3 linked regions of the Neurospora crassa OR74A genome follow. The protein of the gene in region 2 interacts with the protein of the main gene of each other region in a pairwise test. Links are inferred from orthologs where the notes say so. Each region holds a gene or a part of one and is shown on either strand. Other genes may lie near its edges.

What was found.
Region 1: the proteins of NCU17058 (region 2) and NCU09070 interact in a two-hybrid assay, tested with the Schizosaccharomyces pombe proteins (2 studies listed by BioGRID). The link is inferred for Neurospora crassa OR74A from reciprocal best matches to the Schizosaccharomyces pombe genes dre4 and saf1.
Region 3: the proteins of NCU17058 (region 2) and NCU11357 interact in binary tests that used the Schizosaccharomyces pombe proteins (3 or more experiments, as listed by UniProt). The link is inferred for Neurospora crassa OR74A from reciprocal best matches to the Schizosaccharomyces pombe genes dre4 and prp19.

Annotation. Positions count from the first base shown.
Region 1 is NC_026501.1:748,980-755,396, reverse strand, and holds NCU09070 (hypothetical protein), read left to right. Parts: upstream 1-2,869; 5' UTR 2,870-2,956; coding exon 2,957-3,029; intron 3,030-3,113; coding exon 3,114-3,862; 3' UTR 3,863-5,133; downstream 5,134-6,417. Other genes in the region: dbf2 (AGC/NDR protein kinase), read right to left, coding at 1-805, 856-1,558; NCU09069 (hypothetical protein), read left to right, coding at 5,510-6,227.
Region 2 is NC_026506.1:42,032-48,477, reverse strand, and holds NCU17058 (FF domain-containing protein), read right to left. Parts: upstream 3,878-6,446; 5' UTR 3,556-3,877; coding exon 1,720-3,555; 3' UTR 1,510-1,719; downstream 1-1,509. Other genes in the region: gh10-4 (endo-beta-1,4-D-xylanase), read left to right, coding at 1-328, 403-549, 628-1,403; NCU17057 (hypothetical protein), read right to left, coding at 3,908-5,452. UniProt on the Schizosaccharomyces pombe protein: Component of the spliceosome involved in mRNA processing.
Region 3 is NC_026503.1:539,006-545,294, forward strand, and holds NCU11357 (cell cycle control protein), read left to right. Parts: upstream 1-2,845; 5' UTR 2,846-2,973; coding exon 2,974-2,986; intron 2,987-3,042; coding exon 3,043-3,087; intron 3,088-3,218; coding exon 3,219-3,663; intron 3,664-3,724; coding exon 3,725-4,182; intron 4,183-4,239; coding exon 4,240-4,715; 3' UTR 4,716-5,005; downstream 5,006-6,289. Other genes in the region: NCU16616 (hypothetical protein), read left to right, coding at 308-607; NCU11356 (phenazine biosynthesis PhzC/PhzF protein), read left to right, coding at 1,573-2,589. UniProt on the Schizosaccharomyces pombe protein: Probable ubiquitin-protein ligase involved in pre-mRNA splicing. May also function in DNA repair.

The DNA of each region.
Region 1 (6,417 bases), on a different chromosome or scaffold from region 2:
GATCCAACAATCGACTTGGCGTAGTTGGTATCCCGATCACGCATGGTCCGGTAGCCCTCTCTTCTCTCGGCAACGGTTCGCTGGTCCATCGGCTTGCCAAACGGCACCGAGGTCTCAGATGCCTTCTCCAAGCGAATCCTCATCGACTCGATCTTGGCAGGGGCAAGGAAACCAGCCGCCAGGCCAAAATCGGTGAGCTTGACGTGGCCGGTCGAGTCGACTAGGAAGTTCTCCGGCTTGAGATCGCGATGAATGTAACCCAGCTGATGAAGCGCATCGACTGCGCAAAACATCTCGGCAATGTAGAAGCGAGCGTGCCGGTTTGAGAGCACGCCAGTATTGTTCAACAGGGTGCGGAAGTCGCCTCCCGGGACGTACTCCATGGCAAGATAAATGTTCTTGTCATCTTGGAAGGAGTACAGCAAGCGTACCAGCCAATCGCTCTTGGCGGTTGTCAAGATGTCTCGCTCCGTCAGCACATGTCGCACCTCGTCCAGCTTGAACAGCAACTTCTTGCTCATCACCTTGAGCGCGCAAACCTCCTTGGTGTCTTTCTTCTGGGCCAAAAAGACCTGTCCGTATCCACCTTGACCGACCTGGGTAAGGATTTGGAAGTCGCCCTGGCGCAGTCTCACTCGTCGCTTGCGGAGATTAGCACGTTCCCGACCAGCGTACTTGTGCCACATCTGCTTGTACGTCTCCTCGTCGGTCTCGGGTGGTGGCGGGAACTCGGCCTTGAAGGCATTCAGACGGTTTTGTCGTTGTCCGACATAGGTGAGCAGGTCAAAGTAGTAGTCAAGGAAGTCTATCAACAATTAGCACCAGCAAAGAGCAACATGATGACATGATCCTTACACAGCTGGGTCACGTTGACCAGTCGCTTGACATTGGGTTTGTTTAGCAGCTCGCGCTCCTCGGGAGTGAGGCCCCTCGACGTGTTAAATCTCTTGACCGTGGGTGAGGCGCGCTCTCTTGCCTGGTAAAGTTCCTGTCGGGAGAGGGCAGCATGGCTGCGCTGGTATGTTGGCTCAGTGGCAGGGTCGCGGGGGTCGCGGGGATCGCGGGTTACGACTGGTGGTGTGTTCTCCTGGTTCTGATCCCTTTCCTTTCTCCTGGAAGTGGGCACAGGGTAAGGCTTCGGCAAGTTCTTGTCCACCTGCTTGTGGACGACACTAACAGCACTGCCATTGCCTGTGAGGTCCTCAAAGGTATCGTCGCCCACGTCTTTGAGGTTGCTCTTTCCAGGCGAGAGAGGCGTGACCACACTCTGGGGACGGCCGAGCTTGATGGGACTGTCGAGGGCACTTGGGGTCCCGAGTTTGGATGAGGTGCCGGGCCTGGATGACGTCGCGAGCTTGGTGGGCGTTGAAAGCTTCATAGACTCGAAGGCGGCAGGCAGCTCATTGGCGCCAGGCGGAAGGGTCCTCTTGCTGGGACTCCCCTGAGGTGTGCTGACGGGGTTGACGAAGCTCGAGGTGCCCGGCCTCATGGGGGTCTGGGGCCTGGTACCATCCTGCTTCCCGCCGCTAGGGAAGAAGTTTGTCAAGTAGCTAGACATGACTGACAGCTATGCCAGATAGCACCACGTAGAAGGGGAGAGTACTCCTGAGGTGGTGTTGAGAGATGTGCTCCTGGCGGGCACGGATCCAAAGTCCAAACGGAGCAAGGTAGGGCTGACTTGCTTGGGCGATCTCAGCCTCCACCTGCAGTAGCGGTACAGGGCAGGGGAACACCGTGGGGATGGATAGCGGCGAGGCGGGAGTCAGTCGGTGTGCCCGAGTTCGTCTCGTCTCCTTTATCTGTACTGTCCGCGCGGCTGCAAGGCTAGACAAGCGAAGCAGGGCCGCGGTGGGAAAGCTTGGATGAGTGATGCAGGAGGATAAATGGGAGATTAGAGTGCCGAGCTGTCAGATGCAACAAGACAGATCCCAGGTGGATAGCTATGGAGACGGGACTGCAAGAGGCAGCTGAAAACAAGCTGAGATGGATGGGGCGGCCGCGATACTCGAATGGCGCCCGGGGGGGTTGATAGTCTTGGTAGGTAGGTAAGTTGTAGAAGTAGAGGTACTGTGTACAATGCTGTTGGTCTGTGTTGACTGTTCAGTTGTTGACTTTTGGTGGGAGGGAGTGAGCTCGTCGCTGTGCCGTTGTCCGTGGTGTTGCAAAAAAAGGGACACACAACTGCCGTCAAGAGGTTCCTGTTCTTTTTGTTGTCAGAGGACAGAAACGAATCCTGGTCGCCAGCGGGAAACCGAAAATTAAATCATGCAATTCCTCCTTCACGAACAGCGACGGGCAAGTGCAGCAACCGAACCTTTGCTGAGACAAGTTCTCCCTGGCGACTGAGTTGGGCAGGAGCGGGAAGCACCTGGACCTAGCAAGACGTCCACGGGAAAAAAGGCGGGGCAACTTCAGGTTGAATATCAACAACCAAGCGGGATGGGCAGTCGCAGCAAAAGCCCCGGCAACGGGCAGCCATTCACCGATGCCACCTAAGAGTCAGGGACAGGAATTGGGTGCAGGTGTCAGTGGGTGCGGTACGGTACGGAGTACGGACAGTGGCCCTTTGGGTGTCAATGGCTCCCCAATGGCTCCCCAATGGCCCCCCAATGGCCCCAAATCGCGGGGTCAGAAGGGGGGGGGGGGCGGAAGGGGCTGCCAGACAGACCAGGCAGATTGGCAATCGCGACTCCTTGGACCGCCGCGCTGTGAACGGAAATGTTCTTGGCAGAGCTGAGCTGTGCACTATTCCAACGCGTCATTCCGCTCCAGAAAGCTCCATCCATTTAAATTGCGGTGCCACGATCCGTCCTTTGTTTGTCCATGTTTTTTTTTTTTTTTTTTTTTTTTTTTTTTTTTTTTTTTGTCTGCGCCATCACCACTGTCGAGATAGTAGTACCAACTACACCATCAAGAACCTACTCTACCCATCGAATTGAGATAAGCAACACCGACAATGCCCAAGGAGAAAAACTACAACCCAGTCCAAGCCCAGCGCAAAGCTGACAAGGCAAAGGAAATCAAAAAGGGCAAGTGGAAGAAGGAAGACAAGGCGACATTCGGATCCTACCCGCAAGCGATATATATACTAACAATAACCTCACATTGCACAGGCAAGGCGCAGCAGCAGGCAAGGCGAAATGAACAGCTCGCGAAACGAAATCCCGAAAAGATCCAGCAGCAGATCGACGACCTAAAAAAGATCAAGGAAACGGACGGCAAGCTCTCCTCCCATCAAGAGCAGGTCCTCGAGGCCCTCGAAAAGGATCTCAAAGCCGTCAAGAAGGCCAGAGAGGCACTAGGCGACAAAGCGCCCACCTTTGGCCACGGTCCGCGACGCGATGGAGCCCTCGGAAAGCGGCGACGGGAAGACGAAGAGTCTAGCGATAGCGACGTGCCCGAAGATGTCAAGAGGATCCCGATGCCGCGCGACACTCCCCCGCCTATCCCCAAGGACGTCCTAGACGAATGGTATGCCAAGCGCAGGGCAAAGCGGGCGGCAAACGCGAACCACGAGCCACTCGGCCAAGGCAGAGGACATCAGCAGCAACAAGAAGACCAGAAGATGGAGAAGCCAAAGGCACCCGTGGTTGAGGTCAAGACTGTGTACGAAGCCAAGCCTATGGTCCGCGATCTTAGAAAGGAGGCCGTGAGCGCATTCGTACCGACCAATGTCCGTCTGAAGCTGGAAAAGGGCAAGGGCAAAGGTGGTCTCATGGAACCAGAAGAAGCCGACGAACTCGAGAGGGCCGGTTACCTAAAGACCTCCCAGCCGGCAGAACAGTCGGCTCATGGGCTGCAAGTCGAGAAGAGCGCCGGCCCACGTGGAGTTACCATGGAAGAGGCGGAAGAAGAAGACTAGAGGCCGCATCGAACCCTTTTAGGCGGCGAATAGGAGTCTGGGACCTTATGGTTCATCAATCGACACCACACCTACATTACATCTCAAAGCAAGCGCTTCGGCCCGTGTTTTCCAAGCCACCTTGTGAGCAGGCCTGGTCCCGCTGCTGTCATATCAAACTTGGCGACGGCCTTGGCGATGCGACAACGACTGCCGAGAACCTTGGGGCTAACCAGGCTGATGGAATGAGCTCCGCCTTGGCATTCGAGAGCCGCGGCCAATATATTTGCTTGGCCGCACTGCGTTGATATCAATAGCCGATGCAGCACATGCTTCTCAGAGTCACCGGCGTGGATGTCATGCTCAGCGTAAAACAGCTCGTTGGGTTTGGAGCCGGAAAAGGGAATGGACAGGGCCAATTGCCTCGGACAGCCCAGCAAACGGCTTACCGTGGAGAAAAAGAAACCGTTGACCCATCACGACAGGCCCACAACAAAAAGACACCACAAGGGTAAATTGGGACATCGCCAGCGACGGGAATCAGTCATACCGCGCTTCCTGCTGCACATTACGGTTCCCGCCATTCGGCAAGCCCTAGCGCCGTTGCTATTGAAGCGTGGGCGCAGAGATTCTTCAACCTCGTGTTTTACGATTCCCTGCCGCTACGCTAGGGTCCTTCGACATCAGAAATCAGCCTGAAGGCTATTCGACATACACTATCAATGCCAATTTGCAGCATCGCTCCAACAGACGGAGCCAGGTGAGGAACACTGCCTCGCCGAAGGCTTAGTTACGCAGCGGAGTGGTTAGCTTTCATCCCCGCAAGCGAGCGTGGAGCTCGGCAAGGGTTCACTCCAAGCATCATTTGTCAAGATGCGGAAGATGACGGGAAGGGGTCCGTTGGCATCTGTCCAAACTCCAAAGTGCCCCTGGGTCGCCAACGGGAGTACATACATAATCTCAAAGTTGGTGACGGTTGGTGACACGGATGTGACTTGGGAACCCCTCCCGGAGTAACAATGACAGGACTAATCGTTACATCGTTCAAACTGCCAGTGTCTGCAAGTGCAAGAGGAGTTGGTTGATATTGTGGCTGTCTAAGCACCTCATCCCTAGCAGTGATTTGCACCCCTACGTAGTGTAGAGACTTTGACTCCGTTTCACTAGTGATTTGTCCAAACAAGGCCTTAGGTTCACAGTCCGGGAACCAATTTGCAGGGGTTCCCAAGGGAGCCATTGTCCACTGACAACGGGTCGAGCCCACATGTGCCCACGTTCTTACATCAGTCATTCTTTATCTTCAAACCAACGGGAGTATCCAAAGTGGGCGCATACAAGCTCTGGACCCTTTTTTTTTTCTTCCTTTCTTTGCCGATCACCACGTTCCCCTCGTCAGCGGCGCGATATTGTGGAGATTTTTCTTCATAGCTGCCTACGTACTATTCTAGACCATAGAGCAAACAAAACAGCCGTGTTTGATCTCGTTCTATCGTGCTGTGACAGGTAACAACCATTTCCCGTTTCGTTTCTGTTTAAAGTGTTTCAGCATTTGGTTGTCCCCCTCGAGTCTGTGAACTCGACATAGGGACGTCCTTACAAGACGTTCTTGTTTTCTTTTCCCTTTCGTCCTTGTCGAGGAAACATTCAGTTCCACTCATCACCGAATCCATGACCAACAGTCCCTTCCCTCATCGCCCGCCAGGCGCGGACAGCAAGACCCCAGAGTTGACATTGGATCTCGAACAGACCTCACCCAACAACTCGAAATCAGTGCCGATCACAGAACCGCCACCAACAGCCTCCATTTCCAGAGGCAACAGCACCACAGACCCGACCCTAAAAGACATCACACCCAAAATGCCAGAAACCGCCGCCTCGCGAAAGGCCCAAGTCGTCCCACTCTTAGATGGCCACGATGACCCTGAACCTAGCAGCAGTAACGCAAGCAGCAGCCGACCATCAGCCGAAAATCACCACCACCAATCCTCCTCCATCGACTCCCTCACCCCTCTGACCCCCCGTGTGAATCCCCCTTCTCGCCATCACCACGAAGACCCCAACCTCGTAGAAGACGATACCCTCATGACGGGAAAATACGCCCTCCGATCCTGGCTCACTGTCTTCGGCGCCTGGCTGGCCATTTTCGCAGCCTTTGGGCTTTTGACTGTGTTGTCGATATGCCAGAGCTATCTGTCGGGGGAAAACGAGCAAGTGGCGAGCATCAGCGACGGCACCTTCGCTTGGGTTTTCTCTCTCTACTTCGTGGTTAGTTTGGGTTTGGGGATGTACGTGGGCCCGTTGTCAGACCGGTTTGGGGCGCGGTATATGGTCTTGAGCGGGACCGTGTTTTTGGGGGTGGGAACGGTGGTGCTGGCTTGCAGGAGTGGTGAGTCCAATTCTTTCTTTCATTTTTTCCCCTGTTGCTGGGGGTTAGGGAACATTCAAGAGGTGTGGGAGGTGTGAGAGGACGAGTCGCAAATCACCTTGATGAGAAGAAAAACTATGAAGTGAGGGCTGAAAAGACGGGAATCATGGACAGGACAGTAAAAGTGACATGGCACTAACGATGGTAAAAA
Region 2 (6,446 bases):
CTCTTAGCTTTTGCCTCCACCCTTCTTCCCCTGGCTTCAGCACAGCTCGACAAGTACGCCAAACTCGCCGGCCTCTCCTATTTCGGCACAGCCGTCGACAACCCTCGTCTATACAATGAGCAGTACATGTCTGTGCTTCAGGGGTCTGGCGAGTTTGGCTCGCTGACACCCATCAATGCACAGAAATGGAAGAAGACCGAGGAGGTCCAAGGAGTATTCACCTTTGCGGAAGCGGATGCTATAGCGAATACGGCGAAAGCTGGGGTGGGAGGAATGAAGACGCTGAGGTGTCATACCATGGTGTGGTATAAGGGGTTGCCTTCTTGGGGTATGTCCTCTTATGTGTGCAGAGGAGTGGAGCGAGGAACAAATGGAAACTGACGAGAGAGAATAATGCCTTAGTTGAGACGACGTACTCCCGCGACGACATGGAAAAGATCCTCGCCGCACACATCCAGAATCTGGCACAGTACTTCAAGGGGAGGTGTTATGCTTGGGATGTGGTGAATGAAGCCATCGACGAGAACGGAGTGTTTAGACAGAGTCCAAGTACGTCTTTCCATGCTGGCCTTCATGCTCTTTCAATCCCGCCCATACCTTGGTTATTTTAAGCTGACATCCCGCAAGTGTACAAAGCCATGGGCCTCGACTTCATCACTTTCTCCTTCAAGACCGCCGCCAAAGCCGACCCCGGCGCCAAGCTCTACTATAACGACTACGCCCTGGAATCACCGTCCCTCTCCCCGGGCCCCAAAATTTCTATTACTCTCGCCATGCTCCGCACCGTCAAGGCCCAAGGCGGCACCGTCCACGGCGTCGGCTTCCAATCCCACCTCAAAGTCGGCCTTGTCCCTGCGCGTGCCGAGATTGTCAATACAATGCAGCAGTTCCTGGAGGTGGTGGATGAGGTGGCCATCACGGAGCTAGATATTCGACACAGCCCGCTGAAGGTGCCGAGCACAAGGGAAATGTGGAACGCGCAGGCAAGGGATTATGGAGAGGTGGTGGGCGCTTGCTTGGATGTCAACAAGGGGTATGGAGGGAGGAAATGCGTGGGGGTGACTTTGTGGGATTTCACCGACAAGTATTCGTGGGTGCCGAGCGAGATCCCCACAGAGGGGGAGGCGTGCATGTGGGATAACAATTATGTTAAGAAGCCGGCGTATTGGACGGTGTTGAATATGTTCAAGGCGTATGCGGCGGGCGCGTCGAGGAGGCGGGCGGGGATGGATGGAGTGGATGATGGAAATGGGACGGTATCGGAACTGGACTTGGAGGCGGCAGCACATCGCGGGCCTGAGGGTCTTCCTGGGCTTGGAAGGGAACAAACGACGAAGACGGTTGTAGCGACTACGCTGGCGACGGCGAGGAGGGTTAGGTCGACTGCTAGGCCAGGGGCGTGAAGAATGGTGGATGATGGTGACAATGAAACCAGTGATGGTTGACGTGTGATGGCGGCCGACGGATGACTTGACGAGGTGTGCCACGAAAGGCCTGATGCCAATTTGGCTTTTCTTGTATATGATTCTTGATGAGTACCTTACCTATCTGCTTCCATTCTCTCACATGTTTAGTGTGCAAACGCCCCGTTAAATACATGGAACCTGGTTGTTCCTGGAAACCCGCGGCGTGATATGAAGATGGGAACTCCTGAGCGCTATGCTGACGAACAATTTTGGGTATATACCATCTAGTTGAGACGGCCACTTACTCACTCTCTTATCTCTCCTCCTTTGCCTCATCCTCCTTCGACGCCTCCCCGCCAGCCGCAGCACCACCGCCCAGCTGACTCTGCAGCCCCTTCTTATCAACAACCATAGCCCTCTGCAGCTCCCTCTCCTCCTCCCTGAGCCTCGCCCGTTCAACGGCTAACCTCTTTTCTTGTCTTCTCTTTTCCTCTTCTACCCTCCTCTCCCTCTCTTCCAACGCTTTCTCTCTCTTCTTCCTCTCCTCTCTAGCTTTCCTCAGTACCTCATCCTCCGCTTCTTCCGCAGCGCTTTGGGCCTCTGGAGGTGAGGCAAGACCCTGGATGTAACCCTCGATGAATTCGTCGCGCGTTTTCGCATCGAGCGAGATGTACCGGATGTCTGCCAAGATTTGGCTCGGGAGGCTGGCTGCTGAGGACCGGTTGTTCAGCTGCCGGAGCTGTACACTCTCAAGCAACTTCTTCAGGTCACTCTTGAGTTGTGTGTGCGGTAGCTTCAGTCTGTTGATATGCTCCCTGTACAGCTTTTCTCTTTCCTTGTCGTTGAAGCTCCTGTGATGCGCCGAATCCTTCATCACATCTTCCTTTCGATATTTCCTCTTGAACTCAGCCCAATATAGCTTTGGCGTGGCATGTTCTTGTAGAAAGGCCAGGTATGGTATCCTTGGGTCCTTCTTCTCTTCCTTTGCCCTCGCTTCTTTCAGGGCTTGGATAGCCTCGCGGGACCACTCATCGTAAACTTCCCTGCGCTCGCGCATGGATGAGAGGGCAGTGTACCGCGGGTCGGAGAAGACACCCGTCTTGTCGCCTTCGTCGATCAGCTTTTGAAAAGGGGAGTAGGGGTTAATGCGGAAGTCGGCGAGGAGGTCGCGGAAGAGGAGGCGGGCGTCGGCGTCAGAAAGGGGCTCGACGTTTTCTGCTTGTGCTGCAAAATCGTATTCTTGGTCAATATCCATACCATCGCCTTCCATCATGGCCAGCTGAGCGGCAAAGTCGTCTTCTGTAAACTCGATCGGCCCTTGGTTTTCGTCTTCGGTACGCTGGTGCTGGGAGGGGTGTTCGGCGTCGTTGTGGTCTGCGCCTTCGTCATCGGTGACTTCTACTTCTTCGTATTCTGAACTGTCGTAGTCGTGCGTCTCTTCTAGGCCCTGTTGCCCCGAACCCAGATTCTTCCCCTCCGCCTTTTCCTCCTCCTTATCATGGCTCTTGTATCTCGGATCCTCCTCGAGCGGTGGCTCCCCAGCGGCCTTCCTCCTGATCCTTTCTTTATCCAACTCGATCACTGCTGGCAGGATCTTCTCCGGAATCCGCCAGTAACTCGCATTCTTTACCGGATTGAAAGCAAACCTTCTCCCATATTTTGTGTATACCAGGAACCACGGCTCGCAGCCGAGGATGGCGATCTTGGCTTTTGGCTTGTCGACGGGCTGTGGTCGGGGCCTTTGCTGTTGCTGGCTACCGCCCCTACCCCCTGCTCCAAAACCCCCTCGCCCGCCTTGGTGTTGAGGCTGGGACTGCTGGGAATACTGCGCCATAAGGGCATTGGCAACGCGTGGATCGGAGAGGTTTATCGCGGGAACGGCTTGGTGTTGGAGGTAGCTCATGGAGGGGTTCGCTGGCGCCGCGGCGAGCGGATGGGCGCCGGGGACTGGCGAAGCGGACGGAGGACCGAACGGAGAAGCGGCGGCGGGAGGAGTGGGAGTCGGAGTAACGCCGGGGCGCTTGTAGGTTGACTCCTTGGTTGAGGCATTGTAGTAGTATGTGTGCCCGGTAGGCGCTTTGTGTTCGGTCCAGCCTGGTGGCAGGGGAGGAAGAGCACCAGGAGAGGGTTTGTATGTTGATTTCAGCATCGCGGTCCAGTGTATGTTGCGGTGGGTGTGGTTTGGGTGGAAGTGGTAGGTATCGATAGGTGCCTAGCTGGAGACACGGAAGATGGAAAGATGGAAAGATGGAAAGATGGAAATCGAATCGAATCGCAAAACGAAAGTCCCGTCGCTCGTCGCAATTGAACTTCTTCCACTTGGAGCTGCAACTGCAAGTGCTGCCCGGTGGAGACCGCCGGTGGAGAATGCGATTCGCGTCACGGTGCAGGGATCAGCAGTGCTGCGGCAGCCCCCCCGGCAAGTTGACACAGGCGCAGCAATTGAGGCACCGGGGAAGGGTTAGGGGTCGTCTGGCAAATCGTCGACACTCGTTTGAACCTCATCGCCAACTTGTTTTGTTTTTGTTCCAGTCCGTTTCAATTGGGGAATAAGTACGGCATATATCACCCAAGGAGCTGTCATCACTGTCCGATTGGAACAAGAAATCTAGCGCACTGGCTACCTCTCCAGTGTCATCAAGCTCCATGTTGGACAGTCCCTCTGCGAGAAACGAGTCCCGCTCTGCTTCTTCCTCTTCAACGTGTAGCTCATCTGCCATTGACTTAGCTCTTTTAACCATTTCGTTGATGCTGGAACTGGCTTTCATCGGGTGCTCAAGTGAGGTCTTAGGGGGGTTCTCAGGAGGCGGTCTCCCCCCGACCTTCAACATAACCCCATCGACAACCATCTTCCCATCCCAGTCTCTTACGAGCCTCTTCATCTCTTCCTCATTATGTAGACTCACCCAGCCATGTGTCTTCAGCGGCCCCGACCTAGCCGGGGGACAGACCGCTACGGCTTTTGGTTCCGCAAAGTTCCTCGTTACGAAATTGAACAACCGGGCTGGTCTGCCAAGGGACTCTGGCAGGTGCGCTGTTCCGTCCTTGTCATCTGTCGGCACCGGTACAATTTTCACTGTCCAAGGGAACTTGGATGCCGGTCTTGGCACCCATTCCCACAGTTTTCTGTTCCCATGCTCCTCCCACGTAAACCTTTTGACCACCAAACCTCCTGCCTCTGGCGCCCTCGCCAGAAGCGCAAGCATTGTTCCCAGTGTGCGCACAGCGTCCATACCAGCCGAGTGATGCCTCGCTCGGGGCTGTATCCCATGGTTACGCCTGAAGTTGAGAGCCAACATGGCATCCCGCAACGAGATCTTGCGATGCGTCTTGTGCGCTACCCTTCTACCTTCCCATCTCGCATCCGCAAGACCGGTATGCGAGACATCGCACCAGTGTGTGACATGGTCATCCAACAAAGGGAAAACAGATTTGACGGCGCGGTGCTCAAGCTCCATGTCGAATCCCACGAGGATGGTATGGGCCGTGGGGTCCTGAAGGCGGATGGACTGCAGTACGGAGACAATGGTGGACTGGAGGTGGGTGATGGGGTGGTGGACCACCTCGCCGTAGTGGAAATGCTCGTAGGACCGGGCACGCTCACGGCCAAGGACGGCAAAGCAGTAAGACTGCAGACGGTAGTGAGAAGCGATGGTGTCGAGGTCGATTTGCCCTTGGTGGTGGTCTGGAAAGGGCCATGGCCACGAGCCATCCGCGGATGCCGGGGAGAGGGAGAAGACGGGTGGCAGGATGGAGATGCCCACGGAGGTGATACCCTGCGCTATCCCCTCGATACCCTCCACATCGATGCCAATGCAGTAAGAGTGAGGCACCAGGGAGCGCAGATGATTGAGGGTGGTGATCTTGGTGGTGGATGACAAGTCTGAAGGTTCTGTTGGGTTATCGAGACATGTCGTGGAACATGAAGACGGCGTGCAAGAGTCGAACGATGGCGCACGGTGCCGTGTGCATGTGCGAAGTGGCGCTTGTGCACGGGATGGGGGGCCGGCGTCTAATTCGGAAAGAAAAAGCGAACCAAGTGACATCTGCGCCTTTTTGGTGGGTGTTGATTGTGCCGCTAACGGTGGCCGAACTCGGGATACCAGTCGACTGGCGGCGGTTGATCGATTCAATCAGACGGCGGGGTGAACTGATGAGGCGTTGGTGAGGGTGTTCCCTTGGCAGGACGTTGAGCGTGGGTTCTGATTGAGTCCGTGGATGGAGAGACACATAGCAAGTGTGAGGTAGCTAAATAGGTCTGTACACAATGAAAGGTTGCAAGATGTCGAACCACCTAAGCCAAAAGTGTGATCAAGGGAAGTGAAAGCTCAGCCGAATATCTGAAAACGATGAAGAAATGTGAATGGGTTGGGTGTACCTATCTACCTACCTACCTAGGTAAGCTGATGGTTGAAACAGGTAGAGGTAGACACCCCGCGGCCTGGACAAATTATAGGGCCCACTGCGCCAAGGGCGGGTGATTCCTGGATGACCCGATCCTGCCGTTTTAGCCTACTACATACACTACTGCACTAACAATTTCGGACCCCACCCAACTTGAGATTCGAACCAAACACCAACTTCCATGGCATCCACGTCGCTGCACCAGCTTCGTTCCATTCTTACTACTACTACCTCTACACAGTAGCTCCCACCAAACACACGACACGGCATCTACCTGACTGGACGAATTCTGCCGCTTGTCGGCCGTGGCAGCCCGATAACACCTACTTGACGGCGAAGCGACCAAAGCAAGCTGCTGTCTTTTCCGCCAATATTTCTGGCCGACACTGGGTCATCTGCACACGGCAGTGGAAACTCTTCACCATCCACATCGTTCCGTATCGCAAGGCGAACCCAAGACCTCACAAGGTGACCGATTCACAAACCGCATACATAGGTATCGTCTGTAGTACCTAGTTCGCGTCTGGAGATCATGGTCTATACGGCACAGCATGTCATGAGCGGCCTGGCAAACCCCCAGCCGCCGTCTCCACACCTATTATCTCGACGTTTCTGCTTTCCAGTCGAGACACCGGC
Region 3 (6,289 bases), on a different chromosome or scaffold from region 2:
GGCAAGAGATTTGTGATGCTACAGAAGCCTCTAATGGGTATTCTCTAATACCTTTCTGCGTCTTCTTCAGGCCTTCAGCACTAGAAGATACCTCTAGGCTTTTACGTGGTTAGACAAGGCGGGAGCGTGACAGTCCACCAGAGAGGATCTGTTGGGCACGGTGGAGTTTGTCGCAACAACCAATGAATGCTACAATTGTCCAGATCGCGTGCAGTTGGATGGGCAAGAAAACGTGGTATACCAAGGGCCCATTCGTGCAGAACCCATCAAAGCGGTTAAGACGGCGACCGGACAACTGATCTACAAGATGGATGCACACACAACCTTATTCACGCACGAGTTCAAGACCCTTCTGATGAGCAGCAACGTCGACCGTCTGGCACACGCCCTCAGCAAGCTCAACCGCCCGACCGAGACCGAGACCGAGATCGACAGCGAGTCACGCATTCGTTCACCAAACACAACGGACACCTCCTCCCCCCCTGGGTGGGATCGCCAATGCAACCACTCGTGGTGCTCAAGTCAGGGTTCGGTAGAGGTGAAGAGGGTGGTTGATTTGAAAAGGAAGAGGAAAACTAGTAAGCCCAAGGCCCGGAAAGCCAACTAAATACCCCGCCAATACCTAAGACACCATTGCACCTTCCACTTTGCAACTAAAATACCCAATAGAAAGCCAAAGTCCTATCTGCATCCAGTGAAGCCCGCTTTGGCTTTCCTGTAACATACAAACGAACAAACCAGGGCTGAGTAGTATATTTCTAGAAGGACGAGTGCGTCGGGCAGGCAAGCAGGACTTTACAGACTGTCTCAATCGTTGAGAAGGGCGAGCGAGAAAATTTGGCTGGATTCAGTTGGTAATAATCTCCCAGTTTGGATGCGGAATGGGTACTTTTCATAATAGTTTGGGGAATCTTCTTAACGTTGAAAGATGCACATTTCTTGGTGACATCGACATGTGCCATGAAAGAGACGCCACTTTCTAAGCTGTGATCACGAAACTTGGGACACCAAAATGATGGCCAGTTGTGGCTGTGATGATAACTGGGAGAGTTCACCCTCATAACTCAAAGAAAGGAGGTGGTTTCTCAAAGCGAAAAGAAAGAAAAGAATTAGGCCTGGACAAATGGTGTCCTGCTGTCGGGCACACTAGGGTAGCCATTGGAGACTGGAAACACGAAGATCGAAACAAGGGGAGGATGTGGGAAAAGAACAGAGAAGGAAAGAGAAAAGAAAAAGGCATCAAGCATTGCGGGCAATGTCATCACGTAAGCTGGCCGATGTCCGGGGCTGCCATTGAGGGCTAGTAAGTCAATGACTGTACTATTGAACTAAGGACGCGACCACTTAAGACGAACCTCACCAAGGTAGCAATTGGAGCTACCCCACTTTTCAGCTGTGATTCATCGAACCATGACTCCTCCAACTCTCATCAAGGTATAAAACCTCGACACCGCAACAAAAGATCCAAAAATCGATATTGCTATCAAAGATACGAGCCATCAGTCCCACCTCACTCACTCTCTCACCATCTCATCCGGAGACAGCGGCACCTCCCGCACCAAAACATCCAAGATGGCCCAGCCCATCACCCTCACCTACCTAACCGTCGACGTCTTCACCTCCACCCGCTACCTAGGCAACCCCCTAGCCGTAGTCCTCACCCCCGCCTCTTTTCGTTCTCATCTCACCCAAGACGTCAAACAGCTCATCGCCCGCGAATTCAACTTCTCCGAGACCGTCTTTCTGCACACGCTCGACGACGAAGCGCGCGATGGCTTGACTTCCACCAGTCGGGAAATCGACATCTTCACCATCGAGGAAGAACTTCCCTTTGCCGGACATCCCACTGTCGGAACGGCGTACCTCGTGCTAAACCATTTGGGGTGGAAGCATGTGGACACGCTTGTTACCAAGGCCGGACCGATTACGATCAGACCGACGTCCGAAGGAAGGGTGAAGGCTACGATTCCGCATGCTGTGCGTATTCATAAGCAGACGTTGGGCGGGATTCTGGATGGAAAGGGAGGGGAGGTGAAGAAGGAGACAAGGGAGATGATTGAGGCTGCGCTGTCCGAGGACCCAGAGATAAGACAAGCGGAGTTAAATGGCCCGGTAGTTAGTATCGTGCGGGGAATGACGTTTTTGTTGGTAAAACTGCCGAGTTTGGAACATTTGGCGAAGGTGTCGACGGCGAAAAGGCTGGATTTTAGTAAGGTGGAGGGGTTGTTGGATAAGGGGGAGTGGGAGCGCGGGTTTGTGTCCAGGTATTATTATGTGCCGATGGAGAGGGAGAAAGAGAGTGAAAATGGGAGGAAGGAGTTCAAGTTTAGGACGAGGATGGTGGAGTTGGGATTTGAAGATCCGGCGACGGGTAGTGCGGCGTGTACGCTGGCGAGCTATTTGACGGTTAGTGGGAGGGAGATGGGAGGGGCGAGGTTTGAGTTGACGCAGGGCGTGGAGATGGGGAGGCAGAGTGAGATTGAGGTGGAGACGACGGCGGTGGAGGGGGAGAATGGGGAGGCGAAGGTGAAGGATTTGTATCTGGGAGGGACGGCGGTGGTGGTTACGAAGGGAAGTATCTATGTGTAGTGGATTTGCTATTGAGTTGAATGTGATGCTGTCTACATTGTAGATGTTGTGAGAAGTGGCATGGTGTTGAGTCGAAAATGACGAGTAAAAGATACATTGCCAAAGTACCTCCCAAACGTCCATAGTCATTTATGCAACATGATTGGTCACTTACCGTAGTATGCGGCTCGGTGTGGCTCAAGCTTGGCAGATGGTTCTCTGCCTGCCGCCAAACCTCCAAGTACCTCTAGCGTCGTCCAGCTCCAGGCCGTCGCCTGCCTGCTGTCTGTGCTAGCTGGCTGGCCGTGGCGCGTTGCAACAAAAAAGTTGGAGGACGACATTGACATCGCGACTTGAACCAAACAACCCATTTTACAGATTTTGCATTGCAGTCATATTATCAAGATGCTTTGCGCCCGTATGTCACAGCTCTAATCTACCGTTGCGCGACGCTGTGCTAACCGATTGACGCAGTATCCGGAGAGGTTCCCGAGGAGCCTGTTGTCTCGAGAAAGACCGGTACGCGCACTCTTCGTCATTGTTGTCACCATCACCGAGATCCCACCATTCCCACCGCTTCTGTTCCCACCAAGCCACACCAGATGCTTCCACGACAGGCCGAAATGCGATGCCATACTAACACATCCCAGGCGCCGTCTTCGAGAAGCGATTGATCGAAAAGTACATCCAAGAGAACCACAAAGAACCCGGCACCGATGAAGAGCTAGACGTCGAAGACCTCCTCCCCATCAAGACAAATCGGATCGTCCGCCCCCGCCCCCCGCAATTCACATCCCTCCCATCCATGCTCAAGGCCTTCCAAGACGAGTGGGACGCCCTGGTACTAGAGTCATACAACACGAGGCAACAACTGGCGAGGACAAGGGAGGAATTGGCCACGGCGCTCTACCAGAACGATGCCGCCGTTCGCGTGATTGCTCGCTTGACCAAGGAGCGTGATGAGGCCCGCGAGGCCCTTTCCAGACTCACAGTTACGGCTTCTGCTGGCGGTGCCGCAACTGGTGACGCTATGGCGGTAGACAGCGAGGGTCTGCCCGAGGCGTTGGCTGCACATGTTGATGAGGTTCAGGCCGAGTACGTTTACCGCGCTCCGTCATCTCGAAAAGTTGAATGCTGACAATTCACCGATCTACAGAAAGCAAAAGGGCCGCAAGAAGCGACCAGTCCCCGAAGGCTGGGCCACCACAGAAGACATTTCCGCTCTGCAACAAACCGCCTACACAGATCTCCCCGTCACACAAGCGACCTCGCTCGCTCTCAACGGTGGTTATGCGGCGGTTGGTGGATTGGACGGCAAGGTGGATCTCTACTCGGTTGAGGCCAAGGCACACGAACGCTCTTTGGAGGTTGGCGAGCCGGTGACTGCTACGGTGTGGATCGGCAACAAGGTCGTCTCGGCCACTTCGAAGGGCAGTGTCAAGGCTGTTGAGGGCGGTGTCGAGACTGGTTCTGTTACGGAGCACGCCGGTGCCGTGACGGGCTTGGCGGTGCACCCTGGCGAGCAGATTCTTGCTTCTGTGGGCGTGGATAAGGGCATCATCTTTTACGATTTGCAGTCGCTGCAGCGTGTAGCGCGTGTCTATACTGACGCTGGTATGTACCCTTTCACCACCCGCCTCACAGTCTCAAGTTACTAATATGAACAAACAGAACTCACATCCTGCGCCTTCCACCCCGACGGCCACCTCTTCGCCGCCGGCACGCAATCCGGCCAGATCGAGATCTTCGACACCAAGACTCTCCAGCGCATGGCCAACTTCACCCTCGGCGCCCCCGTCAAGACCCTCGTCTTCTCCGAAAACGGCTTCTGGTTCGCCGCTACGGGCGTCGGCCAGTCCTCTGTCACCATCTTCGACCTGCGCAAGGAAGGCGACGCCGCGCGGGCCAAGGAGCTCCAAACCGGTGACGTCTCCGGCCTTGCCTGGGATTACACGGGTCAGTACCTCGCCACTGCCGGATCGCAGGGCGTTACGGTGCAGCAGTATGTCAAGGCTAGCAAGTCGTGGACGGAGCCGTTGAGGACAAGCACGCCGGCTGTGGCGGTGCAGTGGGGAGACAAGGCGAGGCAGTTGGTGGCTGTCAGCAAAGAGGGCGTAGTTTCGGTGTTGGAGCCGAAGAGCGAGTAGGATCGCATTGGAAAATACGAAAAGTCGGACTCGGAGACGGTCTAGGTGGGGTTGGCTTTGGAAGACCAAAGAAGATTAAAGTGATGGGCTAGAGGAGCGAAAGGGGAGATCGGGGTTTATTGGTAGGCGTTAGCTCCTGATGAGAGGGCTCAATACCGGTCTGCCCAGTATGACGCAAAACATAAAGAGCTTATAAAGTAATTCATTGGTTTATCTGGACTCGAGCGTGAAAAAGATATTTGATGAACAGGTCTAGTGTAGACTTGAGCGGCGGGAGCATGTTGTTTTAAAGAGCATATCTGTCTTGAAGTCTTCACTTCTGATGATACCGAAGCAAAACGGGGAAATTCTGCGGTGATACTGTTGTATGGCTTCACCTCCGTATTTCGTGATCTCAACTTTGGCAGTGCCTGCGTTCCAACAGCTTCCATATCACGGTCCATCATCAGACCCTGAAAGAGCTCACGACGAGAACAGGGGATAGTGCAACCTGATAGGCTGACAGCTGTTTGTTCCTGAATGCCCGAATCGGGATGCAGGTAAGGTAGTGTACAATTGGACCCCTATGTCTGACTGTTAAGGATGCAGCGTTGTAACAGGCTCTTCTTGCCCGCAGTACTGCTAAGGTACTAACAGAGGCACATTAAGCATGGTCAACGTCAAGTCACCATAGGAACTTGTGAAAGACACCAACCGAGGTGTTGATGAATGACCTTGTGCTTCAGTTTTAGAAAACAAGCACAACGAACGACTTCCCCCGTGCCGGTTACCTAGGTACCGTAGAAACTCGGTTAGTTTGTAAAAAGAAAAGGCCTTCCCCCTTTGAGCGCCCGACAGCCGTGCAAGCACAGGAAGCCGCATACCTCTACTTCTGTACACATATGTCTGCTTAGTTAGTGAAGGCTCTACCGTACTGCCCAACACTAAGGTACCTACCTATCTTGCCTACACGGCATTCCGAAGCACAGGCTCAGACTCGAGTGTTACAGATCTGCCAGCACCCTGCCTGTTATCCAGGGGCAGGTTTTCCAGGCATTAGATAGCTTTTTGTCAACTTCCCTCAACCATTCTTATGAGAAGTTTGGCAGGAAGTCTTGGTGGTAACTTTTTTTTTTCTTTCTTTTTCCCTCCAGTGTCTCAAAATATCAAAGCCTCAGTTCCTTCCTTTGTTGACCGAGTCTCTTCGTCTATCACGGTGATGGTTGGCTCTCATCTTTTAATTTCTATCCGCTCACCCAAAAAAAAAAAAAAAAAAAAAAAAAAAACCGCTTGAAACCACAACACGCTATTCGCTCATTTGCTGACCAAGCTGACCAAGCTGCGTTTGCCACCACCCCTCGAGGCTGCAGACATTCAGCTAGCTCTCCTTCAACCCTGACCTTGTTGTGCCTGATCACCGTCCAGCATACCTAGGGACGAATTGGGCGTTGAGATCTGTTCCCAAACCAGATTCACTTCAATACGTGCACTTGTTGAATCAGCTGGGCGGTTCGGCTTCATCCCGGTCGTTCATCACCAGCGGCAAGGGGGACCACACTGGTGTTGGCCCGGAAGCTCGAGCGAGGTCAGTCTGT